4 separate regions of the Mus musculus genome follow, and all the other regions are reported to be linked to region 2. The links are microRNA targets in miRTarBase. Many come from high-throughput screens and were not tested one by one. Region 2 holds a microRNA gene; each other region holds the end of a gene's coding sequence.
The links. The annotated mature microRNA mmu-miR-425-5p reads AAUGACACGAUCACUCCCGUUGA and lies in region 2 at 5,568-5,590, opposite strand. An mRNA with a match to its seed (bases 2 to 7 or 8) in the 3' UTR can be bound and repressed. Matches are read on the target gene's strand: a 7mer-m8 pairs with bases 2 to 8, a 7mer-A1 pairs with bases 2 to 7 and ends in A, and an 8mer does both.

Region 1: miRTarBase lists Agfg2 as a target of mmu-miR-425-5p. Seed matches in the 3' UTR shown: 7mer-m8 at 6,957-6,963.
Region 3: the mRNA of Tspan31 is a reported target of mmu-miR-425-5p. The part of its 3' UTR that is shown has no 7-base or 8-base seed match.
Region 4: the mRNA of Prkx is a reported target of mmu-miR-425-5p. The part of its 3' UTR that is shown has no 7-base or 8-base seed match.

The regions. Positions count from the first base shown.
Region 1 is chr5:137,644,802-137,652,734 of GRCm38, forward strand. It overlaps Agfg2 (ArfGAP with FG repeats 2), which reads right to left. Exons shown (of 12, transcript NM_178162.3): 11 at 7,629-7,714; 12 at 5,662-7,021. The coding sequence ends at 6,968. It overlaps Irs3 (insulin receptor substrate 3), which reads right to left and starts at 913. Exons shown (of 2, transcript NM_010571.3): 1 at 290-913. The coding sequence starts at 719.
Region 2 is chr9:108,566,446-108,574,378 of GRCm38, reverse strand. It overlaps Mir425 (microRNA 425), which reads right to left and starts at 5,602; the gene lies at 5,518-5,602. Ndufaf3 (NADH:ubiquinone oxidoreductase complex assembly factor 3) reads left to right here and starts at 6,943. Exons shown (of 5, transcript NM_023247.2): 1 at 6,943-7,528; 2 at 7,628-7,823. The coding sequence starts at 7,452. Dalrd3 (DALR anticodon binding domain containing 3) reads right to left here and starts at 4,487. Exons shown (of 12, transcript NM_026378.3): 1 at 4,304-4,487; 2 at 3,934-4,229; 3 at 3,565-3,815; 4 at 3,408-3,487; 5 at 3,206-3,334; 6 at 2,860-2,933; 7 at 2,705-2,766; 8 at 2,515-2,597; 9 at 2,262-2,438; 10 at 2,082-2,192; 11 at 1,918-1,986; 12 at 1,608-1,828. The coding sequence starts at 4,468. The coding sequence ends at 1,709. It overlaps Wdr6 (WD repeat domain 6), which reads left to right. Exons shown (of 6, transcript NM_031392.3): 2 at 1-278; 3 at 379-474; 4 at 569-685; 5 at 772-890; 6 at 966-2,068. The coding sequence ends at 1,429. It also overlaps Mir191.
Region 3 is chr10:127,062,016-127,069,948 of GRCm38, forward strand. Tspan31 (tetraspanin 31) reads right to left here. Exons shown (of 6, transcript NM_025982.4): 2 at 7,331-7,498; 3 at 6,893-6,973; 4 at 6,465-6,596; 5 at 6,254-6,367; 6 at 5,275-6,175. The coding sequence ends at 6,101. It overlaps Cdk4 (cyclin-dependent kinase 4), which reads left to right and starts at 1,520. Exons shown (of 8, transcript NM_009870.4): 1 at 1,520-1,744; 2 at 2,205-2,438; 3 at 2,570-2,705; 4 at 2,820-2,987; 5 at 3,140-3,249; 6 at 3,938-3,988; 7 at 4,086-4,221; 8 at 4,914-5,273. The coding sequence starts at 2,221. The coding sequence ends at 5,006.
Region 4 is chrX:77,757,585-77,765,517 of GRCm38, forward strand. Prkx (protein kinase, X-linked) reads right to left here. Exons shown (of 9, transcript NM_016979.2): 6 at 7,765-7,822; 7 at 6,989-7,066; 8 at 6,522-6,670; 9 at 3,388-6,307. The coding sequence ends at 6,545. It also overlaps the pseudogene Gm8722. Among named protein-coding and RNA genes, the nearest start is that of Prkx, 34 kb to the right of the region's middle.

The DNA.
Region 1 (7,933 bases), not on the chromosome of region 2:
GACCAAGACGTTTTATACGTCTTTTTTTTTTTTTTTTTTTTAGCTTAAGATTTGAACCTCAGGCCGGGCGTGGTGGCGCACACCTTTAATTCCAGCACTTGGGAGGCGAATTTCTGAGTTCGAGGCCAGCCTGGTCTACAGAGTGAGTTCCAGGACAGCCAGGGCTACACAGAGAAACCCTGTCTCGAAAATAAAAAAGATTTAAACCTCAGTTGATCTGAGGGAAATGGGTTCAAGATAAACTAAGTCGGCAACCCCCTGACCTCCCCGTCGCTCACCCAAGGCTCACCCATAGCAGTAGCAGCAGCGGCTGCGGCGGTGGCGCGCACCTCGAGCAGGGCGCTGTACCATGCTTGCTGCTCTGCTTCGCTGGCCGCCGCCACGCCCAGGCTGCTGTCGCTGGTATAGATGACGATCAGGTGGCGCTGACGGGCATCCGCGCGCTTGCTAATAGTGCAGGCACCCTCCAGGCTAACGGTACGCCGGGGTCTAGGTGGGCGGCAGCCGCTGGCCAAGAACTTCTTCTCGCTCTCGTAGCACTCCAGGCGTGGTGGGTCAGCGCGCAGCACGAAAAAGCGGCGGCGCTGGGACTTCTGCTTCCTCAGATGGCCACAGAGCCGCACGTCGGGCAGGCAGGGCCAAGGAAACGGTGAGCCGAGGGACACGTCGGTGCACTCGCCCCCGGAGGAGACTGTGGGGCCCGTACCTGCAGGCTTCATTTCCAGCCAAAGACAGTAAACTGTCCCCAGAAGGACTGATTTGAATGGGTCTGGCCCCCTGAGCTACCACCCGCTTGGAACAAGTAGCCCTGGGAAACTGCAGCCGGCCTAGCTGCCCTGCATCTCTCCACGCCCTCTCCTGACTTGGAGTGAACAAGGAGCCTGTACACAGGAGTGCGTGTGTCCCAGTGGCCAGTGACACCAGGACTCCTAGGTCTAAGGGAGGCTGACCTAGCTGGGTCAGCCTCCTTGTTGGAATCTCCACCCCTTCAAGTTAACCCTCCCACGCCCGAGTGCAGGAATTTGAGTTTAGGATTCATAGGCTAGAGTAGGAGCCCTGCACCGCTGGGACCAAACTTTCACAGGGGCGGGGAGTGAGGGGGGGCATCTCTACCAATCAGCTGACTGGATGTGGGGGTGGAGGAGTACCGCCAGAGGCAGCCCGGGGCAATCTCGAAAGCCAGAAAGCCAGGGTGCAGAAGAAGCGGCTGTGGTTAGCAGTGATGGCACTAGTAATTAGAAGAGTGGCCTGGCCTAGCGGGCCATCCTGATAGCGGCAGTTCTCCAGGGAGGAGCCTCCGAACTGAGCCTCTAGTTGTATAGGTCCTCAGTGTTCTTTCCTTTCCTACCCAGAGATGATCTTTGTGTCTTTGCTTCTGAGCTATCTGAGTTTGGGTTGATGGATACCCCAGGATAGGAAAACCAAACTAGATTGGTCTCTGGTAACCAACCGCACCCCCACCCTCTCCAGATTCCCACGCATGCAAATGTCCACTGAAGGATGTGTGAAAGAGGACTTAGTCTCTCAGAGACACCTTCCTCAAAGTGCCCCTGACCACCAGCCAAATGCCAACTTGAACCTGATGGTGGCTGTGGTCACAGGAGCTGGGATCCTGTGGCAGACGTCCTGGTGAGCCCGTGTATCCTGAGAGGTTTGGGTGGGGCTGGAGATCATAGGCCACAAATGCACATGCTTATTGGAGGCTGGAAGACAACCTCTCGTATTCCTCAAGAGCGATCCCTCTTGTTTTTGAGACAGGCTCACTAGAACTTGTCTAGTAGGTTCGATTTGCAGGCCTGGAAGGCCTCAGGCCTATCATATGTCTGACTCCACTTCCCCTGCCTGAGGTTACAGTGCATGCTACCACACCCAGCTTGGAAAATAGTACGTGTGTTGTACAGGCTGTCCCCTGCATGTGGTCAGAGGTCAGCTTTTGGAAGTGGGTCCTCACCTTCTACCTTTTTTTGTTTGTTTGTTTTTGTTTTTTCGAGACAGGGTTTCTCTGTATCGCCCTGGCTGTCCTGGAACTCACTTTGTAGACCAGGCTGGCCTCGAACTCAGAAATCCGCCTGCCTCTGCCCCCCAAGTGCTGGGATCAAAGGCGTGCACCACCATGCCCGGCTAGCCTTCCACCTTTTTGAAGCAGGGACTCTCTCTGCTGCCGCACTGTGTACCCCAGGCATTTAAAGATAGTAGTGGCCATTATTTTTTTAGGCAGGGTTTCTCTGTAGCTCTGGCTGTCCTGGGACTCAGAGAGCTGCCTGCCTCTGCCTTCCGAGTCGTGTCCTGTTGTAGTCTTCTAGCTTGCTCTAGAAGTGCTGGGGTTGTGATGGACTGGGATTCTACTTTCCATGTGGGTTCTGATGATCAAATTGGGGCCATTGGATCTGCACAGCAAGCACGTTTCTAATTAGACTACGTCCCCAGCCCCTTGGATATTTTGTTTCTCTACATTAGGGTCACATGGGGGTGGGGAGTGGTGTGACACATTCTGACAAAGCTTAGTTGACAAGTCATGGTACCTTAGCAGACCTGCCAATGCCCTAATGTCGTGGCCAGCAAAATCCATGTGGGGAAAGATAACGGTATACAGAGAAGAAAAGGCCAAGCCCTGAGACCCTGGTAGGGGACTTGGGGGAGGGGCTCCCTTAGGTAAGGGACCCATGTAACAGGTAAACAGAACCAAGACAACCTGGGTCGGTCGTCTTCTCAGCATAGTTCAGGGGCAGCCCAAGCAGCAGAGGTCTATGACCCATTTGTGATCCTGAATCCTAGAGAAATCACTGCAGTATGAAGCTGGGTTGGAATCCGTCCCCGCCCCAGTCAGGTTTCTTTGTGAAGTCCTGGCTGTCCTGGAACCCCCTTTAGAGGCACTCAGAGATCTGACTACCCCTGCCTCCCAAGGGAGTGCTGGTCTTAAAGGTATGCACCACCATTGCCTGTCTGGTTATAAACTGCACATCTTTGAGCCCCCTTTCAAATGCTACACGGAAAGCAGACACCCACTACCAACAGACATCATAGGTATGGGCCTTTCGTGCCAGAGGCCTGCCCCAGGTGCCTCCCAACCGTGCAGAGCCCCACCCAGAGCTGAAAGAAATATTCAACGTTCAGTCGGCAAATCCTGGAAGATGGCCCCGTAGATAATGTACTCATGCAAGTTTGAGACTTGAGCTGGGTAGTCAGGTTACACAGCTGGACATGGCCATGTGCAGCCATAAACCCAGGGCTCTCCCAGTGAGAGGGGAGCGGAGACAGGATGGTTTCCAGACACTCTCTAGCCTGCTAGCCTGGAGTATGCAATGGCGAGCAAGACTCCATCTCAAAGGAAACTGAGCTTCACTCCCTCAGGATTGAGTTGAAGCATCCAGGAAGGGTCTTTTCCTATCTTCTTCCTGCCTCCCTGACCCTGGTTATCTTGCAAACATCTGTCCTTGTGAAATCACATCTGCTGTCACAGAGGCTGCTCCAAATGTTCTGTGTCACTCAGCCCTGGAGTGCTGGGTAAAAGATAAAGCAGGAAGCAGCAGCCACCCAAGGACCTGGGGTGTGGACTAAGAGAGAGCATAGCAGTGTGCAGTAGTGTACAGAGAGGTGAGCAGTGTCTGGTGACGTGATACGCTGGGTACCAGAAGCCTGGCTTACCTCAGTTGCCATAGCAACAACTCTACCTAAGCACATATTTTATAGTCTTCTGAAACCTCAGCAACTCAGGAAGTAGCATATCTGGGGCTCTGCTAGGTTGGGGGCATACCACATCTCTATGGAAGACTCTTGTTAGCAGGAGTAGGAATCCAGAGGAGAACCTTTGAGATGGCTTGTGATTCTTCTCTGGGTGTGTGTGGGTGGGTGGGTGAGGGGGACAACTAAGCTACGTAATGAGGCTTGGTACTAACAGAAACTGCCCATGGGCGATTGGCTGACAGACAGACCCGAGCCAGGGTAGCTGTCACCTGCATAGCGTAGCTAGAGCATTGGCCAGGGTCGGTGTAGAGAGAAGGACATGGCCAGACGTGTATAAGTCAAGTTCCAGGCCCCCCCACCCCCGAGGTGTGTATGTGCAAGTATGTGCATCTGTCCAGACTTACAGCCGTCAGGTGAGGCTGTGCAAAGAGGACAAACAAGCCCACTTGGTTCCTTTTTTCTATACACTGGGGATGTTTCTGTTGTTTTTGCCACTGGTCTGGAGAGGTTAGACGGAGGAAGGTTGCTGAGCCCTTCTCTGCCAGGGACAGTGGCTTCAGCCCCAGCCTCAGCTCAGGGGATGTTTGAGGCTAACCCTGGGTAGATTATCAGTCAGAAGACTGTCCAGGGTCCACATCAGACAGAGGGACAGGAGGGGAGGAGGCTAGGAGGACCTGGACACAGGCAGCAGGCAGGCAACAGGAAATCCCTGGGATACAGTGCAGTTTGATTTATATATAAAAGGGGCCCTGTTTTTTTTTTTTAGGGTCCTTTAAAACTAAAGTTATCTGAAGCCAGAGTGTTCCAGGGAAGCTGTGTTTAAAAAAAGAAAAAAAACAACCAACCTTGCCCTTACTCCTGGCTTCAAGCAAAATGGGGGGAAAGGGAAGGGCCAAAGATATGGCTCCTTTGGTAGAATGCTCGATTCCTAGCACCTTGTGAAACTGTGTGGTGGCATGTCAGAAATTCAGTCACACTTGGTTACACAGTGTGTCTGAGGCCGGCCTGAGCTCCACAGTGAGTTCCATGCAAGCCAGAGCTACACAGCCTCTGTGACTATGTCTCAAAAGGAGCAGCAGCAAAAAAGAAATGGGAGGGGCAGCCTGGCGTCGGGGCACATACCTGGAATCTTAGCCCTCAGGAGACTGAGGCAGCAGAATTAGTCTGAGGATAGCCCAAGCTACATAGGTAGGAGAACTGGTGGTGGTGGTGGTGGTGGGGAACAGACTGACATTATTAAAGATGAGAAAAGAAACAGAAAATATGGAAAAATCTAGTACAAAGGCTAGGGGCCAGCTGGGTGACCTCCCTCCCCCCTCACTCCCTCCCCCCCCTCCTCCCAGGAGAGGGAAGGAGGGGAGAGGCTAGGCTAGCGGAAACAGTAGAGACTGAGTCTTATTGCAGAGGGAAGGCCAAGCCTGGCTTAGCAAGAGCTACAGATCTTTCCAGAAACATCTATAAAGCAAAGAACTGACTGATAACTTAATGCCCACATCCCTTTGCTGGTCCCTATGGAAGGCCCAGAGAAATCCTAAGAATGAATAATTTAAAGGGCCAGGAACTCTTGGCGGAGGTCTGAAGGGCGGGGCCTCCCAGGGTAAACAGCACGGCCAAGGCCTGGGTCTCTCTGCTGGAGGGGAATTTATCTCATGCACAGGCAGCGCAAAACACCTGGCCGATGACACAACAGCCTCTGGTAAGGAACTGCTGGAGGCGCCGAGAATACTGAGAGGCGGTTTACTTATCAAAGCTACACTCGACCAGCTCCCTGGCACCTGCCGCCCTGCGCCATCACTACCTTTCAGCCCCAGATCGGGACCCTCACTGGTCTCCGGGCTTCTTGCTAACAGAGGGTGCGCAGTTCAGGTCACGTGTTTATCAGCCCAGGCAGTGAAGATCAGAAGATCCAAGTCAAGGCTCAGTCCTGTTGACTGACTTGTGTCCACTCCAGCTGGCACAAAACAAGACACTCAGAGCTTTTTTTTTTTTTTTTTTTTAATCCTTTCAAACGCAATCTTTTCCGACATTGCCTCCAAACAAGCTTTGGTGCAGATATTTGAGAACAGAGGGAGGAATGTGGAAAAAAGAAGAAAAAAAAAAAAAAAAAACCAAACTCCCCAGCCAATCGCAGACTTTTCATTGGAAAAGCCTAGCCTCTGGGGTACCCCTTCTCGTGTGTATTGTGGAAAGCGTCAGGACACTTGGTTGTCCTCCCCTGAGCCCTGGGGCTCCGGGTTTGATTATCCAGGCACAGGCAGGAGTTACCCTATTCTTCAAGTTCCCAGGAGGAGTCTAGACAAGTGCTCTACCACTGAACTACATCCTGAGTTCTCTGTTTTTACTTTTTATCGTTTTGTTTTTTTTTTTTTTCTTCCTTTGAGACGGAGGGTCCCAAAATTGTCCAGGCTAGTCTTGAACTTGTGATCCTCCTACCCAAGTCCCCCAAGTTCAAGGGTTGTCTAGGAGAAAAAGAATGGCCAGCGGTGTTTATCTGTTTACATATGTGTATGCATATATATATTTATTTATGTATATAATAGGCTATATTAGAAAAGTCTCTATTTATAAATATAAAACACTGGTATCCAAACATGACAGGGCTAACTAAAGTGCTTGACAGGAGGCGGGCACGCATACTCTGTAGGTCAAACTCCCCCACCCTGACGGACAAGATGAGGGGGCAGCTAGGAAGAACTGAGGTGGAGAGAAGTGGGTGTGGCCGAGCCTGGCAAACAAAAACACTAGACACCAGAAGCTCCGCAGTCCCAGGGCTATCTGGTGGCTTTCAACACCAGGCCTCATCTTTACCCTACATTCGAGCTTTGCTTCCATCTGGGAGGACAGCGGCAGCTTTGGAAGGTTGGGTGTGGAGGAAGTTGCGGCTGGGGCTGTGCCTAGCTTCTCTCCCCACAGGCCAGGAGGGACAGGATCGAAGACTGTCTTCATAATTAATAATCTGACAGAAATACACCACTATGGGGTCTCCTGGTGAGAGTATCTTTGCTCCTTGTGGGCTTCTTCCTGGGTAGGTGTCCAGCAAGGAAGAGGAAGCCCCTGGGCGGCAGACCAGGAGGCTAGAGTCTGAGTCATCTCCAAGTCACACTTCTAAACCTCCCCTCTTCCCAGATCCAGAAGCCCCGCAACCCAGGCCCAATCCCAGCCTCAGACCCACAGAAATGCCCCACAGGCAAATGGTCACCAGAGCTCTGAGGGGTGCAGAAGTAGAAGTTGTTCCCCACACCCCCAGGAGGGGAGAGCCCCTTCTTCCCCCAATGACACAGTGCTACAAGAATGGGTTTGTGGTTGGAGGTTTGGAGGCAAACGCTGAGGATCCAGTCTGCAAAGAGACAGCAAAAGGTTACTAGATTAGCGGGGCGGGGAGGGAAACTGCTGGAGACCACCCAACGTCACCACTCGAGAAACAGACAGTAAGGGAGATTAGGGGACACTGAAGGGAGTGAGGGACTGAGTGGGGCCTGGGAGCTGGGTGTGGATGGACACACCTGAGATCTCAGCACTCAGATGTCTGAGGCAGGAGGAGCCTGAGTTTCAGCCTAGCCTGGGGTACACAATGCGACTCAGTCTCAAAAAAAGGGAGGAGGTGGGCTGTGTGTGTGTACTGGCTTCATGGGTACCTAATCTTGAATCCTCAGCACCCATATAAAGCTGGGGTGGTCTCATGTGCACCTACAACCTCGGTGTCCCTCGAGGGACAGAGACCGGAGAACCCCTGGGGTTCACCAGCCACCAGACTAGTTCCAGGTTCCATGAGAGGCCCTATGTCAGGTGGAGCGTGATAGGGAAGGCCACCGGAAGTCCTCCTCTGGCCTCTGTGAGTGCATGGGTACACACACATGCACTCCAGGAAGGGGTCTTAGTTATACCCCACATTACCACCTTCTGGAAAGATCTGTGTGTCTCCAATGTCACAGTGCAGTGCTTACCATGAAAGGATTGGTAGAGATCCCAGCCGGCTGGCTCAGTGGCCTCTGCCCCAGCTTAGAGGTCCCCAAGTCGCCAAAGGAAGATCCTGGGAGACAAGGACAATAATTTGGTTGACTGTGTCTCTCACCTTCCTGAAGGAGAGCAGCTTGCTACATTCCCAGGGAGCACCCAAGAGGGATCCTTCCAGAATTCTCCTTAGAAAAGTATGGAGCCATCAGGAGACAGAGGTAGCTCTGCAGCTCCTCTGGGCCCCCTACTGGTCAGAAAGGGAACTAGGTCAACTCTCCATCTGTACAGGCAACCA
Region 2 (7,933 bases):
TCTGTCTGTAACCATATCTCCTCTGTGCGAGCCCTGGCAGTGTGGGCTGTTGGCACCCCAGGTGGCCCACAGGATACTCGACCAGGGCTCACTGCTCAGGTAGTGTCTGCAGGGGGCCGAGCGGAGATTCACTGCTTCAGCGTCATGGTCACTCCGGACGCTAGCACCCCCAGCCGCCTTGCCTGTCATGTCATGCACCTTTCATCCCACCGGCTGGATGAGTACTGGGACCGGCAGCGGAACAAGCACAAGATGATCAAGGTGGACCCTGAGACCAGGTAAGGCGGCCTCCCTGTCATGGGCGGGGCGTGAGAGGGTTATAGGAAAGTCCTGACTCCTGACTGCAGGCCCCACCTGACCGGTGTGTACCCCCTACAGGTACATGTCTCTTGCTATTTGTGAGCTTGACAACGATAGGCCTGGCCTCGGCCCTGGCCCCCTTGTGGCTGCAGCCTGTAGTGATGGAGCAGTGAGGTGAGCTCATAGGGCAGAGGAGGGGGAGGGGAGGGGGAGGGTGTGAGCTCTCCAGGACGGTTCCCAGACCACCACCCCTCCTCCTCGCCCCCAGGCTCTTTCTCCTGCAGGACTCTGGGCGAATTCTGCATCTCCTAGCTGAGTCTTTCCACCACAAGCGGTGTGTCCTCAAAGTCCACTCCTTCACACATGAGGCACCTAACCAGCGTCGGTGAGAGGCAGCCCTCTGTGGGTTGGGTAAGGGCTCCTGTTTTTCCATCCCTTTTACTGATCTGGCTGTCCTCTCCTGGCTTCCAGGAGGCTGATCCTGTGCAGTGCAGCTACAGATGGCAGCCTAGCCTTCTGGGATCTCACCACGGCAATGGACAAAGGCTCTACTACCCTGGAGCTTCCAGCACACCCTGGGCTTCCCTACCGTGAGTACCGTGACACCCCTCATTACCTCTCTCACAAGATAAAAGCGGGAGCTAACAGCCACTCTCTTCCTCCAGAGATGGGCACCCCCTCCATGACCGTGCAAGCCCATAGCTGTGGCGTCAATAGCCTGCACACTTTGCCTACACCTGAGGGCCACCACCTTGTGGCCAGTGGCAGTGAGGATGGGTCCCTGCATGTCTTCACACTTGCTGTGAAGATGCCAGAGCCGGAAGAAGCTGATGGGGAGGCTGAGCTGGTGCCCCAGTTATGTGTCCTAGAGGAATATTCCGTCCCCTGCGCACATGCTGCCCATGTGACAGGCGTCAAGATCCTAAGTCCCAAGCTCATGGTCTCAGCCTCCATAGACCAGCGGCTGACCTTCTGGCGTCTGGGACAGGGTGAGCCCACCTTCATGAATAGCACTGTGTACCATGTGCCAGATGTGGCCGACATGGACTGCTGGCCTGTGAGCCCTGAGTTTGGCCACCGCTGTGCTCTGGCAGGTCAGGGACTTGAGGTTTACAACTGGTATGACTGAGTTATCCCAGTGGGTGGAGAACTGAGCACAGGGCCTGACTGCAGACAGTAGAGCAGGGATCAGCTGTCTGTGTCACGCTCAGTGTGCTCTGGGGAGGCGAGGCAGTACCATAGTTCTCGCAAGTATTCCAGTAGGGTGTTGCATAGGAGGACCAAGAACACGCCTCACTCTCACAATAGGATGAAACTGTATTTATTCTGACTTTAAGTGCCCAACATCTGTGAGGTCTTGTTTCTTTCCCAGTTGATGCTTTTATAAACATTCCCAGTTATTGGGCCCTTAGATGTGGCTCAGCGGAGGGAGGCCCAGCATAGCCAAGCCTGTGTGGAACACCTCACGCACTGCCCTCAAAAGCTGTAGGCGAGCAAACATCTGACCAAAGAGGTGTGGCCGAGGTTCCTGAAAGAAAAGCAGCCAGGCGCATCCTCATTTCCCGTGTGCTCAGCCTTGCCCACATTTCCCGCAGACCCCCCTTGCTGTATGCTCACCCCTAGAATATGTACTCGGTTATAGTAGGAGCTGAAATCCATGCTGAGCTGCACCAGGAACTTGCATACCTAGAGACAGACGTTGAGTCGTTGAGCTGTTGTCTTTTTTCTTGTGTTACAACCCAGAATAAAGAATAATGTGTGAAATGTCTTCTGTGCCTTACCATCTCCGTGCGGACAGGGATGTGGAGGCCTGGGGTGCCGGCCAGACTCACAGTCTGGCTCAGCAGGTCCAGAAAGGGAAGGACACTGTTGAAAAGCAGCAGCCACTCACCCTGCGGGAGACAAGCGTGCTAGGAAGACAAGTCCAAGCCTTGTGGACGTTTATCAGGACCAACACTCACCTCATCATGGAGTAGTGAGAAGTCCAGACTGCTCACAAGCGGAAAAGTGGGATACAGACCTTGCTCCGTTCCATGTTTGTAGCCCTCGAAGAGTGTGGCAAGGCGGGCACAGTTATACATGACAAAAGTCCCGCTCTTTGTGCCCTTTGTTGAGATGGTGCTGTGGGCCAGGAGGAGCTGGGGAATGGTAACATAGCTGCAGAGGGCCTTGGCTCTGTACCTGCATCCTCCGTCCTGGTGTCGGGAGGCTTACCTGGCTCTGTGGGGCTGTGCTTAGCATCTCAAATTTGATGGTAGCCACGGAGAGGATGTCGAAGGTCTCAGTCCAGGCGGGGTCTGGGGTGCGAGAGAGGCTGGTCAGTGTCTGAAGACGAAGCACACAGGCCAGAGGTGTGCGTGACCTGCTTCCACCTCAGCGCACACGCAGGATCTCCCAGGTGTACCTTGTGCCAGGTCTCCTCCGTGCTTCAGAGCTGAGGCCTCGCACACCTGAGCATGTCTGAGCCTAGAAAAGCGAGCCAGTAAGCAAGGTCTCAGTGAAAGCTGTCCCTACCTTTACGCTGTTGGTGGCTGTGGATGGCATCCCTTTCATACTCACCTGTAGTACTGAGGGGCAGTCAGCTGGGTGCCGGGTACACCAGCCATTTTCACGGGACCACACACCAGGTGTTTCTGTGAAAGACTGGAAGGGCTCAGCCCAGTTGGCACTACCCTCCCCGCTTCAGGGAACTATATCAGTTGCTTTTCTACCTTGGTTTTCCCAATCTGTAACCACCAGCCTTCCTTCGTACCTCCTCAAGACACCATCATCCTTTTTCTTAAGACTACATAGTCACAGGACATTTGCACTTGTAGCACGGGTGCCTATGGTCACATCAGTCTCTAAACCCCATGGTATTCCAGGCCTGAGGTCGGAGGTGGTTTGGTTAACTTTGGTAACCAACCTGCTTGTGAGGAGCCCGGTCATCCAATTTCTGCCAGAGCAAATCCAGCTTTTGTTGCTGGAATGCCTCTTCACAGCTAACCACGTGTATAACCACGCAGTCATCTACACCAGCATCTGGACGCCCAGCCTGAGGAGAGATGGGGCAGTTACTACAAAGATACAAAAATCCAGTTTGGGCAGAGGTCAAGGCAGCCACTCACCGGGCCTGGGTGGCCGCCCTCTGGCCAGTGGCGCACAGCCTCCTGCAGCTCCGAGAGCACAGAGAGCACATCTTCAGTCACTACAGAAAACAAGAGGTGTTGAAGTGCCTGGCAGTGCAGAGACACAACCCCACCCATGTTCTGCCGTTTGTCCTACCCAAACAGTGGTCTATGCTGGGGTCATAGCCAGCAGTGCCTCTCTGTTCTACCAGTTCCTTCAGACACAGTCGGCCTAGGACGCCAGGGGGCAGCGTCGCTTCCTTAGAACCATTAAGGTTTGCAAGAACACAGGTTCTCAGTGTTTCGGTCGAGGTGCTCTTCGAGGCAGTGGGCCATTCCACCCGAAGTTTCTGGAGGAAAGTTGACATGTGAGGGTCCCGCACCGGGGGCACTGAGCACACACGTACCCTGCAAAGCAAGGGAGGCTGTCTCAGCCTGCGGACCAGGCTTAGATTATCATGACTCCCACCTTTTCTATCCCCAAATGTTCGGTCTTTTGCCATTATAGCTTCGAACACGCACTTACCCATGAGCACGCAGTACCCGTACTAGATGATCGGCTACGAGCACGGCACGCAGCTGGCTCAATCGGAGCGTCCCCGAATTACAGCGCAGTGCTGGGCAGTGTAGGACAACTCGCGGGCCTGGTGAGGCAGGTTTGGCGGGAGTAGCATAGGAGGCCAGGGCACCGAGTACATGTTCGAAGACAGCGGGCCGCTGTAGTTGGAGCGATAAACCCGCGGGTGTCGGCGCGCAGCGCAGTACAGGGGCCACTCCGGGACCCTGCAGGCAGGAGACCGCACGGAACACGCACTCTGGCACCTGCAGGCAGATGTGTGTAAGTGGGCCGTAGTTCCGTGGATCCCGCTAGGCATGCCCCACAGGAGCGCACCCACCTGGCCGTCCCTGAAGCGCGCCTGTAGCGCGCTTCGCGGTGCCAAGAAGTCTCGAACACGAAGGTGCCGGGCATGGGTTTCCTTAAACCACACTGGGCTACCAGGCCCTACAGCTGCATTAAGGGCCTCCAGCGTCTCGCCAACCCCAAGGCGCCCGGTCGCCATGGCGACCGGAAGACTAAATGGAACAGGAAGTAAGTTATCCGTAGAGCTTCCGGGAGGTCCGCCTGGCGGGGGCGGGGATCCGGCCGTGGACTCTCCTGAATGGACCAGAGCGATCGAGCATGCCAAGTGAGCTTACATTCTACCCACGCCTCCAGCTCTCCCTCCCGATGGCCTTTCCTGTATTCATGAGCCCTAACCTCCAAATTTGAGGGTCCATTTTTCCTCCTTTTTAAAAAAATCGTCACCCCGAATTATTACTTTGATAACGGATCTTTGTTACCAGGCAAGACACTTTGCCACCAAAGTTTCACATCTTTGTGTTTATGTCTCTTTTTTCTTTTTCTGCCCCATTTAAACAAATTAAAGGCCAGACGCACGAGACGAAATGTCAAAGGAATAAGGCTGTACCATTAATGACACTTTGTTTTTCAAGACAGGGTTTCACTGTGTAGCCATGGCTGTCCTGGAACTCTTTGTAGACCAGAAAGTCCTTGAACTCAGAAATCCACCTGCCTCTGCCTCCTGAGTACTGGGATTAAAGGTGTGTGCCACCACTCGTGTCTTCCATTAAAGACTCTTTACCGCCTACTTGGAAAAGTAACGAAACAAAGCAAAATTTGAGTTCTGATTATTGGTACGCCTTTCCTCGGCTGCGGTATGGAATGTCTTTATTCCCAGTAAAAGCCCAATCGGATAGAATTGCCCATCTTGATACCCGAGGAATTAGTCATCATGATTCCAGGATTACCAGCCTTTAATGTTTTTCCTTTAAACTGGTGTTACCGGCACCTTTGGTTCTTTAGGCAACTGGTCAGTTTAAGACAAATGTGATGATGAGAAGACCCAAATAAGCAGAGCTCTCAGGTAGAGCAAGCTGCAGGTGAGCTTTTCTATGTCCAAACTCTTTCGTTTCCAAGTAACGTGAAACTCCACTTCCCCCAGTAATGAATGAATCCAACCGGTGAACTTTGCTCCGGAGAGGAGTGACATCTAGAGATAGGAAAAGTTCGGGAAGGCCGGGGCTATGAGGCCCTGTTTGGGAGGTGCCGAAAGAGCACTGGGCGGACACGACATTCCCGATGGCTTCTTGGGTGCCCACTCAACGGGAGTGATCGTGTCATTCCAAAGCACTTTCCATGCTGTGGTGTGGGTTCAGCTGCTAGCAGGGCTGGGACCCACCAGCAAGTTGGTGATTTTAGCTACTCTCCCTCCATGAAGACGGTTGGGGTGGGTTTTCCCCAGGAAGTGAAGATCTATCTTTAGCGAGCTGCGGGCTGGGCGGCCTTGTGGGACTCACCGCCATTGCGGCCCTTCAGAGAGAGGACCCAGGACCTCCCTGGTCAGAGTTCTCCAGGGATTCCAGACAGGGCCATCAGCCCGAGCTTTTTTCGTCGCCTCTGACTGCCACCATCAGTCTGGGGGTGCACCTGAGAGATGGAGATCAGAATGGCCCAGTAGTGTAGTGTTTCTGAGAATAGAGACCACATTATCTGGGCCAGGGCGCTGCTCAGGCAGGAGAGCAGGGAACGAAATCCAAGTGCAGCTGGAATGCTCTGGAGACAACAGCTGCTTTTGGGATTCCGTTGCCCGCTGTCCAGCCATTGGAGGAGGGCTCTTGCTCCCAGGTCACTCGCCCTGAGGCCAAACCGGAACCCGCCCATCCCTTCCCAGTGGGCTGAGTAGGAAGGAGTAGGTGTTTTAAACCAGTCTAGTGAGAATGAGACGCTCACCTGGGCCCCAGAACAATAGAAGGTGGGGGCATCCCCCGGGACGAGGTCCTGATCCGGATTAGATCAGAAGGGCTGGATTAGCCCTGTGAGTCCCAAGCAGGAGCCACTTGTACCGGGCAGGCTTCGGAATCCGTCAAGAGGGAAGCGATTCCGTGAGACCCGAGAGGAAGTAAACCCATGTGTCCACTTCTGGGACTCCCCAAAGCTTAGGACCTTTTGTCTGGTGACGGTGCCAGCTCATGAAGTGCCAGGGGCCAAACTGGCCCACATAGCAGCGGCAGGACAGCCTCCCCCCAAGCCCATTGCAACCGGCCCTGCAAAGAACCCCACAGCCAAGCCCCATTTGTGTCAAGCATCCCACCCGTCTAGTCCAGCGGATAGAGAACGCGACAAAGTTCCTCTGAGGCCAGGACAGAACCGGTGCGCAGAGATGCCCATGCCGCGGGACGCCAAGGACTCATGCGCCAGTAGGCCCTAGACTCAGCTCAAGACAGGGGGAGGGAGACTCTCGGTACGCGCGCGCAGAGCGCGCAAGGGCGGGGTGGTGCTCCAGGCGCGGTCTACTTCACGTCTGGTCCGGTTTGGCCCAGTCAGTCCCACTCGAACAGCTACTCCAGCACTGCCACGGCGTGCCCTTCCGCTGGCTCTAGCTGTCCCCAGACTTGGAGCCATTTTAAGGAGAAACCATCTGGCCACACCCCCTCGCGCTGCCGGGAAGCCAATCCATGCTCGGCCACGCCTCTCATGGAGCGCTGCGCCGTCGCCAACGGTCGCGCTGGTGACGGTTGGGGAAAGCAGCGATTTCGAGACTAGCTAGGGAAATTTTAGCCATCTGCCCCGCCCCCGGAGCCCGATTCTCCAAAGCCTGGGATTAAGGGCCTGGAGGCTGGCACCACACCCTGGCCAGGTGTTCATAACAGGACCAGGTGCGCAGCTGCCCCGCCCTGGTCCCTGGGAGCCCGAATAATGGCTGAGAATCCCAGGAACAGGCCGCGGCAGTGGCCTAAACAATACCCTTAGGGCGCCCGTACTAGCAGGTGTTTTTCCCCCTCCTCCTTAGGGACTGTCGCTGGAGGCATGGGGCGGGGTGGGCGACAGGTGCTGACACACCCGCATGGGGAGACAGAGGCTCTGCATTGGCCTACTGCGCCGTTCAAGGTGCGCGGTGCCCTCCGGGACGCAAGGGGCGCTGTGGCTACTTTGAGACAGACAACTCTGTCCCTACGACCGGGTCGTTAAGCGCCGTTGCAGCCATGGCTACTGCTCTAGGATTTCGCTGCCTTTTCCGAACGCGACCTGCGCCGCTCTGTCGGCACGTCGACCGGCTGTGGTGAGCATCCCCTGTCCAGCCTCTGACCACTTGGCCTCGGACCTTTCAATCCCGCATAGTCCGGCCGGGCCACGACTTCCTGACTTTAGCCCTCCGCAGGAGGAACCCGCGTCGGGGACACCGGCTTTCTCCGGCGGACGATGAGTTATACCAGCGGACTCGCATCTCACTGCTGCAAAGCGAGTTCCCTCAGGCCGTGTACATCGACAGCTACAGTAGCAGAGGCTTCACTATCTGCGGAAATCGCGTGTTTGGCCCTTGCGTGCTGCTCCCACAGACGGTGGTCCAGTGGAACGTGAGCCTTCTCCCCTACATTGAAATTTAAATAGCGCCAGAAGCCACTCCCTCCTAGCAAATTTAGCTTTATTTTGTTGCCTATTAGTGTCGCTGTGAGTAAAGGCTGTA
Region 3 (7,933 bases), not on the chromosome of region 2:
AATAAATCAGAGCCAAAATCGTTGCTCATGCCTATAAAAACAGCATTTAGGGGCTTTAGCACAAAAATTGCAATTAATTTGAGACCAGCCTCAACTCTAGTGTCTCAAATATGATTTTAGAATTTAGGGTTCAGGAATATAGCTCAGTGACTGAACCCATGCTTACTGCATATAAAAACACTAACTCCAAGCCGGGTGTGGTGGCACACGCCTTTAATCCCAGCACTCAGGAGGCAGAGGCAGGCAGATTTCCAAGTTCGAGGCCAGCCTAGTCTACAGAGTGAGTTCCAGGACAGCCAGGGCTACACAGAGAAACCCTGTCTCGAAAATCCAAAAAACCAACCAAACAAACAAACAAAAAAACACTAACTCCAATCCCCAGCACCCCCACCCCAAATCAATTTAAAATAGCTCTAGATTTTAGGCAATTTTTCACAAATGGGAACATGGTCCTTCATCCCATATCCCTAAGAGGTGGGAGACAATAAAGGAGTTGGAGCAGACGAAATCGTCACACAGATCTACCTCTGTCTAACTAGATTTCTGTAGGCAGACCATTTAGGAAACGCTGATCAGATCAAGAATATGTTCTAAGCTGGACTGGGGAAAAAATAGGAACATGACCCCAACGAGGAGTTGCAGGTTTGCAAAAGGACACGTCATCTTCCAGCAATGTGGTGGTGACTGACCCTGGACATGCTTACCCTGTCATCTGTTTATGCAATCACATATATATGTAGCAATCTTAGTGTAAAGACTCTTGTAAAATCAAGAACCCCTATTTTCAATCACTTCTTGCTGCTTTTAATATTCCTGGGGAGGTTTACAGGTTGGGAAGAGGGAGGGCATTAAATTGCTGCCCCCCCATACCCATACAGTGGCTTATTATATTTCCTTCTGTCCATCTTTTAATCCTAGTTTCCTCCTCAGATAGAAATTATTTATTCCCTGTTTTATAAGACCACAATTACCTATACTAGTTATCTTTATCATCACTTCAAAGGGCGAGTGACTGAGACACCAAAACAAAAACATCGCATACCAACTGGAAGGAAGCACTTAGTAAAATTGTGTTGAATGAATGAGTAAAAGAAAGACACAAATACGAATGTTTCCCCATGGCGGTGGAGTGGAAATGTTACAGCACCATTTCTGGCACCAGGATCTCCCACTAACACCTCGACCTCCCGCCCACTCAGAGACCCATAGTGAGACTGAAGATGCGCTCTGGCTCGGCCTTGAGCCCAGAGTTGAGAGCTGGTTGGCCCGGTTGCCATGACACCGCCTTGTGCTCCACCCTCTCTCGCCCCCACACACCCCCTCGGCAGTCAGGGTATGGCAGCCAGTCACGTGCCACACAGCGTAACCACACCTCTGCTTCCCAGCGCAAAGTCAAGGGGTCACGTGGGATAGCAACAGGTCACGTGGCCGTCAGGGCCCCGCCCCCTTCCCCACCACACCCCTCCCATCAAAGCAGCCCGGGTTGCCCACTGCGCAAGGGTGAAGATCACGTGTCCAGAACGTCCGGCGCCCGCCCCGCCCCCCGGGTTTCCGCGCGCCTCTCTGGCAGCTGGTCACATGGTGAGGGTGGGGGTGAGGGGGCCTCTCTAGCTCGCGGCCTGTGTCTATGGTCTGGCCCGAAGCGTCCAGCTGCCCGGGACCGATCCCCGGTGTATGGCGCCGCAGGAACCGGCTCCCGGGCCCAGATAAAGGGCCACCTCCAGAGCTCTTAGCCGAGCGTAAGGTGAGTGCAGTCTCATCCAGGATCGGGGGACCAGTCCCCGCCACCACCAGCACCCTCCAGCTCCCCACGCGTGCGCGTCGCTGGCTGATTATGGAAGGTGGCCCAATGGCGGGAAGTGGGGCCTTTGTGGTCGCGGGCAAGGGTGTGATTTTGGAGAGTGAAGTGCAGAATCTTCGGTGCAAACCCTGTGCACTGTGTGATCCTCTTTGTGCCTAGTGCGATGTCCTCCGAAAGGAAAGAAAGCATTCTTTTTCTTCCTCCGGGACAAAACGTGGCCGGAGGAGGAGGGTTTGATGGGAGTCTTTGTGTTACCTAAGGCGCGGGCCCTGGAAGTGTGGAGGGGTGGGATGTTGCTGATCGCGTTGGCGAGGTCTTGTGCAGGAGTTCCTTTGTTACCGCCGGGTCATCCCCCTCCTAACCGTGAGAGTGAGTTTGGTATTAGAAGCCTCTGTGATTGTAGATCCCCTGCTTCGAGAATGGCTGCCACTCGATATGAACCCGTGGCTGAAATTGGTGTCGGTGCCTATGGGACGGTGTACAAAGCCCGAGATCCCCACAGTGGCCACTTTGTGGCCCTCAAGAGTGTGAGAGTTCCTAATGGAGGAGCAGCTGGAGGGGGCCTTCCCGTCAGCACAGTTCGTGAGGTGGCCTTGTTAAGGAGGCTGGAGGCCTTTGAACATCCCAATGTTGTACGGTGAGAAGGTTGGATTGGGAGTGGGGCGGAGAGGACAATAGGACCCGTAAGGCAGGAGTGGGACCCTAGAACGCCAGAGGCCACGTTGAGACAAAGGGGACGACTAGCTGGTGATCATTTGTTCTTCTCAGGCTGATGGATGTCTGTGCTACTTCCCGAACTGATCGGGACATCAAGGTCACCCTAGTGTTTGAGCATATAGACCAGGACCTGAGGACATACCTGGACAAAGCACCTCCACCGGGCCTGCCGGTTGAGACCATTAAGGTGAGTAGGGGTGGGGCTGGGGGCGAGGGTGGACCGATCTTTGCAATAGAAGTTGTTGGGATTTTGAAGTGATACATAGTTTCCGGTGTTCTGTGCTTTCTTCTTGAAAAACAGGATCTAATGCGTCAGTTTCTAAGCGGCCTGGATTTTCTTCATGCAAACTGCATTGTTCACCGGGACCTGAAGCCAGAGAACATTCTAGTGACAAGTAATGGGACCGTCAAGCTGGCTGACTTTGGCCTAGCTAGAATCTACAGCTACCAGATGGCCCTCACGCCTGTGGTCAGTAAAAGGCGTTAGCCGACTAGGTTGTGATAGGGGTAGCTCTTGGTGGTTTCCCATAGCAACTGAGGAGTCTTGTACATGAAGTTTTCAGAGCCAGGCAGGTCTGGTTCGTGAGGTCGACACTCACTCATTTCTACTATTCTCTTCAGGTGGTTACGCTCTGGTACCGAGCTCCTGAAGTTCTTCTGCAGTCTACATACGCAACACCCGTGGACATGTGGAGCGTTGGCTGTATCTTTGCAGAGATGTTCCGTCGGAAGTATGGGACTAGAAACTTTTTGTTGTTAATGGTACAGGGTTAGTCCTGGCCGTAGATCAGGTTGGCCTTGAACTCACAGAGCCCTGGGATTAAAGGCATGCGTTACCACCGCCCGTATGGGACTTGAAGCTCTTAACCTACCTTCAGTTGCACATAGCTTTGGCTGCTTGTCTTACTGTGCTAGAGGTTGAAATCAGAACTCACACACACTCAGTAAATGCTTCCGTGCCACTGAACTTCACACTCCGTCGGCCCCCAAGTCTTTTACAGACATGCCTGTTCTTGACCATTCGCTTTTGTGCATGTATGGTACGGGACATCCAGCCTACCCAGTTCATACTGACCACCTTGCCTAGAACCAAGAAACCATATAGGCATGCCCTGGATTTAGGATCTTCCCGTTCCTCGTCTCCACACTCTCTAGTTGGGTCTACATAACGGTTACTCCTCAATTTTTTTTTTCTTTTAAAAATGTATTTATTTCCATGTATGTGAGTACACTCACTGTCTTCAGACACACCAGAAAAGGACTTCAGATTACATTACAGATGGTTGTGAACCACCGTGTGGTTGCTGGGAATTGAACTCAGGACCTCCGGAAGAGCAGTCTTATCTGCTGAGCCGTCTCTCCAGCCCCCACTCCCCTATTTTTGATATAACACATACTTTGAGTCTTTTTCTGCCTTAGGCCTCTCTTCTGTGGAAACTCTGAAGCCGACCAGTTGGGGAAAATCTTTGAGTAAGTATTTGATAAGGAAAAGGAAAGACATTTCCTGCTGCCGCGGAGACAGGAGCTGGGAAAGGCCCCTCCTAACAGAGTTGTCCTGTCCCCACAGTCTCATTGGATTGCCTCCAGAAGACGACTGGCCTCGAGAGGTATCTCTACCTCGAGGAGCCTTTGCCCCCAGAGGGCCTCGGCCAGTGCAGTCAGTGGTGCCAGAGATGGAGGAGTCTGGAGCGCAGCTGCTACTGGTACTGGACCTGGGCGGGGATTGGGTTAAGATAAGAAATACCGTGGCCTGGGGAACTGGCTCAGTGGGTAGAGTTCCTTTGCATAAGTGTGAGGACCTGAGTTCAAATCCCCAGAACTCATATAGAAGTTGTGTGCTTCTATGGTGCTACTCCTTTTTTATTTATTTATTTATTTTTAAAGATTTATTTATTTTATGTATGTGAGTACACTGTAGCTATCTTCAGACACAACCAGAAGAGGGCATCAGATCCCATTACAGATGGTTGTAAGCCACCATGTGGTTGCTGGGAATTGACTCAGGAGCTCTGGAATAGTGGTCAGTGCTCTTAGCTGCTGAGCCATCTCTCCAGTCCTGTAGTGCCACTCGGGGCGAGATGGACAGATCCCTGGTAATACAGCGCTGACAGAGTCTCCAATGAGATGGAAGGCAAGGACTGGCAGCCCAGACTCTTGACCTCTGCATGTATACACGCACATGTGCGTGCCCGCATTTCACACATGAGCACGTGCACGCAGAGATGAAACAGACGGGCCCAGACCAGCCTGAAGCTAAGATGTAGCTGTGGGCAGGCTGTAGTTGTCACTGCTGTTGGGAATGGCCAGCCAGAGTGGGACAAAGGAAACAGCCATGTTGGGTGGGCATCAGCATCGGCTCCTGAGCTGTTTTCTGACCTTTGTCCTCTCCCTTTAGGAAATGCTGACCTTTAACCCACATAAGCGAATCTCTGCCTTCCGAGCCCTGCAGCACTCCTACCTGCACAAGGAGGAAAGCGACGCAGAGTGAGAAGAGGGGCTGCCTTTCCCAGTCTTGGTGGAGAAACCCTCGCTGAAGCGGCAGCCTCTGTTTCCCCCCAAGGCTGTGGAGAATCCTCCAGTTTTTTACAGAGAATATTTTAAGCCTTAAATAACAAGTCCCCACCTCTCCTTACGAGGTTCACCCCCATTACCCTCCCCTAGCTCTACACTAAAGGGCAGGTGTATCTGTCTTCTTCCCTCCCTGATTTATACTGGGATCTTTTTTATACAGGAAAACAAGACAAGACAAAGAGTATGGTCTTTATTTTTCTTTAATGTTTTTTCCAATTGGCTTTGCCACTGGGAGACTTGGGGAAAACAAAACAAACAAACAAAAAAAAAACACGAAAACAAGTTCCCTGCAAGGACCTAGGCAGGCAGTCCAGCTCTTTGGCTGGCAAGATCAGAGAGAAATGCTTTCTTTGAATATTCGGTCAAAATGGCTTTAGTTTCTAAGTTCACTGGTCCTGCTTTGATGAGACTGTAGGTGGGGCTGGGAATGACAACTGATTGGTAGAAATGCTTGCCGAGCACTTGTGAGGCCCTGGGTTATAACTGGTTTTCTCTTGGTGTTCTGACTCTGTCCTTGAAGCCAAGGGTCTTGGGGGGGGGGTGCAGTTACCCTCCTAGGGCCCGAGGCCTACCTCCCCTCATCCATAATCGTGTTCCCATCAAAACAGACATAAGTCCAACCACCAGTTCTTGGGGGTGAGGTAAGGGACCTCTTTTCTCTAAAACAAAACCATAGGGCCACCCCTAGGTGTTTGTAAAGATGGCAAGGCCAGGCAGTGGTGGTGTACGCCTTTAATCCCAGCACTTGGGAGGCAGAGGCAGGTGGATTTCTGAGTTTGAGGCCAGCCTAGTTTACACAGTTCCAGGACAGCCAGGGCCATACAGAGAAACCCTGTCTCAAAAAACAAAAAAATGGCAAAGCCAAGTCAGAAGGATCCAGGGGCTGGCTGAGTGTGGTGATGCCAGCAGGAGGCTGAGGCAGGAGGGTCTGGAATTCAAGGTCTTCCTTGGATACAGAGCTAGCTAGAAACAGCCTAGGCTGCAGAGATGCTATCTGGGAGGTCAAAAGTCTCATAGGAAGGCACTGGGGTTGGCTCGAGGGTCCTTTTGATTCCGGAATCTCATTGCTAGCCAAACACCAAGGATCTACGGGAGAGGAAGAGAGAAAGGTTATTTCTGGACCATGGGGTTGAAGGCTTGAGTGTGTACATGAGGAGTCATTACCTCTGTGAAACTAAAGAAGAGCCCAACACCTCCTAGGATCTTGAGGGCTTTGTCTGAATGTTTAAGGAACCTCTCCCCACACATCTGGCATGTAGAGCTCTTAGTTTTGCACACCTGGTAACAGACATATATAGAGAATTCAAAGTTGCTCACCTGCCCTGTCCAAAAAGCTGTAGTGAATGTCCCAGGAATGACTAATCCTTCATCTTACCGCACTACAGGAAGTATCATCTTGTAGGCGCAGGGTTGTAAGGTTGAACAAGCCACAGCAGTCAAAACTTCTCTCCAGTTCATGCCGGGTACTGTTGCTCAAGACCGACCACGAAGCATTGATGACATCTGCCTAGAGAGCACACAGGCATTAACATTCGTTAGAACATTATTAGACATTAGTCTCCTCACATACCCTTCGGTTCAGGAGTCTCCATTTCCCTGCTTTAGCAAGGAAAACCCCACAGAGACCGCAGCGTGATCATTGGTAATGTGAGGTGTCTCAGGGTCTCTCTGCATCTTGGGGAATTAACCATATGTGTCAGGGAGCACACATCTGTGGAAGCAGTGGGTCTGAGCAAGGATGAGATGAAGGGGTCAGATAAAAGTGGAGAAAGCAAGCAAGTACATGAAAGGGCTTACCCTTACCTGTGTGTTTCTGTTAATAGCCAGACATGAGCAAGAGATTCCAAACTGGAAGATGAAGACCAAACCTAGGATGATCATATACTGAGAAGAAGTTAGGGCAAAAAGACCTGTTTTCCATTTAAAATACCTCATTCAGGGAGACAGACAGACAAAGCTGTGTGGTAGCCAGCCTAGTGTGAGCTCCAAGCTAGGACTACATAGCATAGGCCCAGTTTCTGTCTTTAAAATCTCACCACTGTAATTCTAACTGCGATGTGGCAGGCAAGGGGGCAGAGTTCAAGGCCCTTCTCTGTTCACAAACTGCACTTTTTATCAAGTTGGGGGAAAACCGTCAACTTGTGTGGGTTACAGAGTAAGAACAAAGAGACGTGTTTGAGGTCCCCTGGTCCCCTTCCCAGGAAAAGCCCGCTCAGGCCCCAATCACTAAGGCCAGGATACAAAGAAGAGCAGCACTTGATGGTGGTTCGCGGCGCCCACCAGTCCTGCCACCGCGATGAGGAGAAGGAAGACTCCCACAGCAATGACTCCTCCAATGATGTGAATGCTAGACACCACACCGAGGCCCTTGCCCCAGGCAGCCACGCCAATGAGCAAAAAGCCCACAAGCTGCAAGAAATAGAAAGAATACACTTTATTCAGCCTGATGTGGTGGCTCATACCTGCAACCGCAGCACAGCGAAGTTCCAGGTTAGTCTGTGCTAGCTAGCTCGCTATACAGTGAGACCCGGTCATCGCCAAAGATTTCTAGCAATGCAGCACAGCCCAAGGCTATATTACAAGGGGACGTGGACTTGACAAGCTAAGCGCTTGAGGTGTGCAGTCAGTACTGTTCATCTCTAAGCGCACTTCCCAAGCAACTGGGAATGACTGAGAGAGAGTAGGGCAGGGTAAGTAGGTACCTAACACACAAATGGAAGCCTTGGCGTTGTCTAGTAACTCTAGTTTGGGAAGAAACTGGAGCAGAAAGTGAAGACTGGAACTATAGGCCCTCAGTCTCCAATCCACCCCTGCCCACCACCAAACAAGCCCCCTCATCACCGG
Region 4 (7,933 bases), not on the chromosome of region 2:
AGCATCAATGTCATCATAAATGCTCATGGTCTCAGCAGTCGCAATGGTATTGAGAGAGAAGATGGGTTTCTCTTCTGTCTTGTAGGAGATAACAAGCTTGAACTGATTAAAAATGATAGAGTCGTTATCAAATTCATATCCAGAATTTAAAAACTCAAGGGCAATGACTGGTGCATCTCCAAAAGTAGGGGGCTTCTGTCGCACATCTTTGAATGACACCAAAAACTGATCAGAATGAGTCCTATAAAGTATGACCTTGATTTTTTCACCAACTCAAACAATCATAACTTTTTTCCCAGCTGCTGTGAGGGCAGCCACTTCATTCTTCATCTGTTTAGCCACTGAGGAATGAATAGCACCACAAAGCCCTCTATCTGAGGACACACCAATAATGAGGTGCTTCTTATTGTCCTCAGGTCCCTGTTCCATACGCTTGAGTAGGCTTCAGCTCCCGCTCAGCCCGGGTGTACTTTATAGCTGCCACCATCTTCATAGACTTGGTAATTTTCTGGATATTTTTGATGGACTTCAGTCTCCTGGTAATATCTTTCAGAGTTGCCATGTTTCAAACTTGGATCCATTGCGGCTGCGTGGCACAGGCCGACAGCCTGACAATACTCACCTTCGAGAACATGGTGGAACCTTGAAGGTCTGGCAGACGGGGCTCACTGCCCCAGCAAAACTTTCAGTCAACATAGATGAAGAAACTAAGATATTCTATGACAAAGCCAAATTCAAACTACCTTTCCACTATCCCAACCCTTCAGAGGATACTAGAAGGAAAAGTCAAACCCAATGAGGCTAACTACACTAAAGAAAATACAATGAATAAATAAATAAATAAATAAATAGATCCACACCATTAAAATAGAAGAGAAACACACACACATACTACCACCACTACCACCATCAAAATAACAGAAAGTTATAACAATCATTGATCATTAATATCTCTTAACATCCATAGATTCAATTCCCCAGTTAAAAGACGCAGGCTAGCTGAATGGATGTGTAAATAGAATCCATCATTCTGCTGTACACAAGAAACATCTCAGCAAAAAGATAGATATTAATAAAGGCTGAAAAAAAGGTTTTTCAAGCAAATGCACCTAAGAAACAAGATGGACTAGCCATTTTAATATCTAATAAAACAGACTTTCAACCAAAAGCAATCAGAAATGACCAGGAAGAATACTTCATACTCACTAAAGGAAAATCAACCAAGAAGGCATCTCAGTTCTGAACAACTATGCCTCAAATGCAAAGGCACCCACATTCGTAAAAGATGCATTACTAAAGATTAATCACACATGAATCCCACACGCTAATAGTGGGAGACTTCACCATTCCACTCTTACCAATTGACAGGTCATTGAGACAGAAACTAAACAGAGAAATAACAAAACTAACAGAGGTTATGATTTAAATGGACTTAACATATATCTATCACCCAAATACAAAAGAATATACCTTCTCAGCACCTCACGGAACCTTCTCCGAAACTGACCATATAGTCTGTCACAAACCAAGTCTCAACAGATACAAGAAGATTGAAATAATCCCATCCTATCAGATCACCATGGATTAAATCTGAACTTCAACAACAACAACAACAACAACAACAACAACAACAACAACAACAGAAACAACAGAAAGTCCACATACTCCTCATCAAAACTGAACAACAACAATGATCACTGGGGTCAGAGAAAAGAAAGGAATGAATAACTTTCTAGAATTCAATGAAAATGAGGGCACAACATATCCAAACTTATGGGACACTCTAAAAGCAGGGTTAAGAGGAAAGTTTATAGCACCAAATGCCTCCATAAACAAATTGGAGAGTTCTCATACTAACATATTAAAAGTATATCTGACGACTTTAGAAAAAAGAAGCAAACACACACAGGAGGAGCGATAGCAGGAAATGATCAAAGTCAGGGCAGAAACCAATAGATTAAAACTAAGAGAACCATTCCTGAGCACATACCCCAAAGATTCTCCAACACATAACAAGGTCACATGCTCCACTATGTTCATAACAGCCTTATTTATAATAGCTAGAAGTTGGAAAGAACCCAGATGTCCTTCAACAGAGGAATAGATACAGAAAATGTGGTACATTTATACAATGGAGTACCACTCAGCTATTAAGAACAATAATTTCATGAAATTCTTAGGCAACTGGATGGAACTAGAAAATATCCTGAGTGAGGTAACCAAGATACAAAAGAACACCCATGGTATGTACTCACTGATAAGTGGACATTAGCCCAAAAGCTCGGAATACCCAAGATACAATTCACAGACCACATGATGCTCAAGAAGGAAGACCGAAGTGTGGGTGCTTTGGTCCTTCTTAGATGAAGTAACAAACTACTCACAGGAGCAAATATGGAGATAAAGTATGAAGCAGAGACTGAAGGAAAGGTCATCCAGAGACTGCCCCACCTGGGGATCTATCCCATATACAGTCACCAAATGCAGAAACTATTGTGGATTCCAAGAAGTGCATGCTGACAGGAGCCTTATATAGCTATCTCTTGAGAGGCCCTGCCAGAGCCTGATAAATACAGAGGCGATGCTCACAGCCAACCACTGGACTGAGCACAGGGTCCCCAATGGAGGAGTTAGAGAAAGGACTGAAGGAGCTGAAGGGGTTTGCAACCCCATAGGAAGAACAACAATATCAACCACCCAGATCCCCCAAAGCTCCCAGGGACTAAACCACCAACCAAGGAGTACACATGGAGGGACCCATGGCTCCAGCCGCATATGTAGTAGAGGATGGCCTTGTTAGGTATCAGTGGGAGTAGAGGCCCTTGGTCCTGTGAAGGCTCGATACCCCAGTGTAGGTGAATCGAGGGCAGGGAGGTAGGAGTTGGTGGGTGGGTGAGGGAACACCCTCATAGAAGCAGGGGGTAGAGGGATGGGATAGGGGGCTTCTGGGGAGGGGAACTGGGAAAGAGGATAACATTTGTAATGTAAATAAAGATATTATTCATTAAAAAAAGTAAAAGAAAAATAAAGAGATGCACAGAAACGTATAAGGACCAGAAAAGAAATCCCACATAGCACACTCTTGTGACTTAGGTTATGCACCACCCTACCCCCATCCCCCAAGTTAATGACGTCTGAAGTTTGTAATACTTCCACTATCCTGGGTACTAATATTCCTCAAAACAATCATCAACCTGTTACAGGGGTGCAGACCAATTTCCTTGATTAACCCAACTTCATTTCAGCTTCACTAGTTCTGCCTCTGAGAAATGGGCACCAACTACTGTTGGTGACTGGATCACTGAGGTCATTAACCATGGTCAATGACTTGTGTTTTATGGTGTTACCCTGTGTTACAGGAAAAGTCAAGAAACGACCTGAAACAGATTTCTTAAAACATACAAACTTTTATTAAACAAACCTGGACTCAGTAATAGTATTTTATAAATTAGACAGCAGAAAGTTTTCCTGGGGCAAATATATAGAGAGATATACACACAAATCACAGTGATTTTTTTTAATATGCATCAGGATAAAAAAGGAAAAAGAAACAGGCTTTTTCATTCTGCATAATTTCAGGCAAGCTGACGGTTGCTCGGCAGCAGGGGGGGGGGTGCACCTGAACAGTGCACGTGGGACCTGTGTTATAGCAGGTCAAGTGATGAGCCCCACACTCTGAGAAGAACGGAGGTGACAAGGGGTTTTAGTCTGACATGTGAGGACCAGGAGCGCTGGGGTGCTCACTTTCTCTAAGTCACACAGATAATGATGTCATGATGTCTATTACATAACCAACTGGAGCAACCTCCCTCTCCCAAATAACTGTGAGGCCAGATGCAAGGGTGTGAGACTCAAAGGCAGATTTGATAGTAACATTTAACAGTTGGGAAGCAGATCCTCCCCCTAAACTGATGGGAACAAACACAACCTAATGGGGGCACCAACTCACACATAAACCTTGACTTTGCATTATAAGTTTCAGGTGGTTTACAGTGTTCTGACAAATAAGAATGACAGGTGTTGAATGTTCATCAAATGCTTCCTACGGAGCTTCATCCAAAACAATAACAAAAACAAACAAACAAATCCCAGGAAATCAACATATTTCAAATCTACAGTCAGAAGTGAGACCCTTTCTGTGATTTTCACCTCAACATCAAGACCCACACAATGCTAAATTTTCACTAGGGTTCACCTAGCAACACAGTGGTGATTGGTATGTTTTGGTCCAATGTTGGGATATTTGCACAGCCAGAGGGTCCTGTGAACAGTATTAAGCCATCAAATCACATTCTACAGTGTAACATGTAACAGCTAGTTTAGTGAGACAAGCACCAATCCACAGCACGTAGTACTTTATCTGTACTAAACATTAAAGTCAGTCTTAGTTGAAGAGCATAGAGATTTGTTTTTTTTTTTTTTAAAAGAGGGGATTTCCTTTTTTTTTTTTTTGCTTTTTAAGATTTATTTATTTATTATATGTAAGTACATTGTAGCTGTCTTTAGACACATCAGAAAAGGGCATCGGATCCCATTACAGATAGTTGTGAGCCACCAGGTTGATGCTGGGATTTGAACTCAGGACCTCCGGAAGAGCAGTCACTGCTCTTAACCGCTGAGCCATCTCTCCAGCCCAGAAATTTGTTTTTAAATTTTTATTTGCTAGTGATTATCTTTTATACTTTGGTTCGAATCAAGCTACCACCAGAGAAATTTGAAATTTATTAACTATTCCATTGTTTCATGAGAAGGTGTTGGGTGCACAACTCTCCCTGGACTCAGAGTTAAGAACAGGACATATTTCCCTCACCCTTTTTCATGGCTGCTTTTGCCTTACCACCCCTTCTTGCATGTTAACTACATGGACTGCAGAGGATCGAGGTTGGGTTGGTTCTCAGCATCCGCAGGGCGGCATAGAACTGCCTATAAGTCCAGCTGTAGGGTCTCTGGTGCACTTGTTGGCTGTGTGTACTGCAGTCACATGTACACACAGAATTAAAAATCTTAAAATAGAAAATTATGATTCCTATATGATGTCTGATGTCACTGTAGTGACATCGCATAGTGTCATTTGATTTACAGCCTGATTAAGGGTTTTTTATTTGATTTTTAGGATTGGAGTCAGATTGCAAGGTGCTTTAGGAGCACACAGAGGGTGCATGTGCGCATGTGTGATCTCCCCATGTGTGTTTAGAATTAAGGCAATATTTCCTATGCTAATTTCATGTTATTTCCTACTTAATAGCAAACATCTACTGACAGGACTTGATTATAATCCTGCATTCTATCTCCTGTATGTGTTTGTTTGTTTGAGGTACATAACCCAGTTAGTTTGCATATTGGAAAGCACTGAGAAAGCTCACCAAAAATACAGCTCTGTACAAACTTTCATAGAAGTTCCCGGCCTGGAACCTGAGTTTTCACGGACGGACATGGCTGGGAGAACAAAGTTAAGATGGTGAGAAGAAAATGCCATTTACAACAGAGGAGGGAGGGGCTTAAGGGGTGGATCCTTAAAGTTCCCTTGTGGGGATGTGGGTACATTTGTATTATCATAAAAAGGCAATCTTTGCACCCAGGTGCCATGCTGTATGCAGAGTTCTGGCTTAACTTTAGGAAGGGATATTTTACTGAAAACATCTAAACTGGAAGATTGGAGGAAAGCCACACATTTGTGCTATATCTGAATAAGGGTCTGCAGGGCATGTGGCTTCCTGACTTCCAAGTTTAAAGTGACCAGAAAGGAACTAAATAAACAAACAGTAACTAAATAAACAATGTACACAAATGATTGCAAAATGCATAGAAAGGCATTTTTAAAAAGCATATATCTCACCCTTTTTTTTTTTGCCTGTAGGGTGAAAGATTTTTCAGAAAGCTTTAAAAAATGAACATGTCACAAGCACAAAGTGCCAAAATTTCCAGTTTGCACAATTTCTGTGCACATATACACTGACAGCCATAAAACCAAATGGGTCAAATTCAAACTTAAAAAGTTCAGTAGAAAGACAAACAAACAAAAAAAGAAACAAAATTCACAGCACAAACACAAGACTCATGAAGAAGGAGAAAACCTACAATTTAACAGGTTTTGCGAATTCTCATTGGGCAGGTTTCCAGTTGTTGAAATGAGGCTGGGTTCCAAGGGTGATGATTGTATTGATCTTTCAGGAACTGGAATACACACACCAAACCTTCTAGTTTCATAGTAGGAAATGGAAACGTACGACAAAAAAGGTTCTGGCCATTGGTGTGGTATGTTGTGCTGTGGTGTGGTATGGTGTGGTATCGATGTCTTCACATACATCTGGCAAAGAAAAGGAAGGGGGAGGGTTCAGAGATTATCAACATTTACTACTGAGTTACCTGACAATCATACATAGTAAGAAACCCTGCAGACTGGTTAATTCATCATTCTCAGTTGCACTGAATGTATATTTTCTCAACTACATGGTAAATTAAAAGCTATCTTTGGCTACATGACACCCTACTTAGAAATTCAGAAAAAAAAAAAGTTTTACCTTTCAGACATGAGTTCTCATCCTCAGAAATTTTTGAATGTTTCCAGGTCTTTGTCAGATACAGAAGGTGTCTTGTCCAATTCACTCTCTGGATAAGTCTCAAAGTTGGAGATGTCACCATCACCCGATAACTTGGGCACAATGGGTGGCTGAGAGTCATTCAAAATAAACAAAGCAACAAAGAAATAAAATAAGTGAATGAGGTGACACTGGGTAGCCCAGTGGGGACATGTAATGCCTGTCACTTGGAATACAAATTTTATGAGAGGCTGAAGGTACTCCAGTACTGAAGTCACATGGTGCGCATGAACACAGAAACAATACACATACATCAAGCGCAAAATAAATGACAATAAACCTCTAGTAAATTAATTTGGAAGACTGAGACACAGTAGTGGGAGCTCACTGGGTGGTTAGGACCATATATGAAGCTGTTCATTTAATTCAAGGGTGTATAATACTCCCACCTTCAGTTTTCTTTGTGGCACAGATTCCCACTCCACACCTCGGAACCACCGGTGCCGCTTGATGTCTTCTGCCCCATTCTTGAGAGGAAACATAAACACTCAGTAAAAAGCATTTGAAAAAAAAAGTGTGTGTGTATGTGCGTGTGCATGTGTATCATTTCTAAAATCTCCAATAAAGCAATTTAAAAATAAATTAAGTGGCCAGGTTTGGTGGCACATGCCTTTAATTCTAGCACTCTGGAGAAGGAGGCAGATGATAACTTTGATGCCAGCCTAGTCTACAAAAGAGATTTCTAGGACACTCAGAAGTATATACTGAGACCCTGTCTTATAAATAAATAAATACTCAAAAATAAAGAATAAGTCAACCATGAGTGGAGGCATATGCATGTCATCCCAGTCCTGGGAGGTGGGAGGTTGAGTGGGTCACAAGTTCAAGGTTATCCTTAGCTACAACATAGTGATTTTGATTGTAGTCTGGGCTACAGGAAAACAGCAAATAGGGGCCAGAGAGATGGCTGCTCTTTCAGAGGACCCAGGTTAGATTCACAGCATCTATATGGAAGTAGACAATCTCCTGTAACTGCAGCTGCAGGGGACCTGAGTCCACTGTGGCAGGTAATAAACCTGAGTAGTACATACACAGAATTAATAAAAACAAACCAGCAACAAACAAACAAGCCAAAAACTAATTTAACATTGAGCATGGTCTGGGATCCTCTTAGTGGATGACATCACCGTCAGTGTGCAAACTGGAATGCTCTAGCATGACTCACCTTCATGTTGCCTAGGCGTCGGGTCCTGTCCACCACCAGCAGCTTCTTGATGAGGTCCCTGTGTTAGCAGAGAAGACTCCACTTGGATCCAGAAAATGCCAGAATCAACTGAGGTGCTCATTCCACCCACACCACCACATGGTATCTCTATTGTGGGAAAAAGACTTAC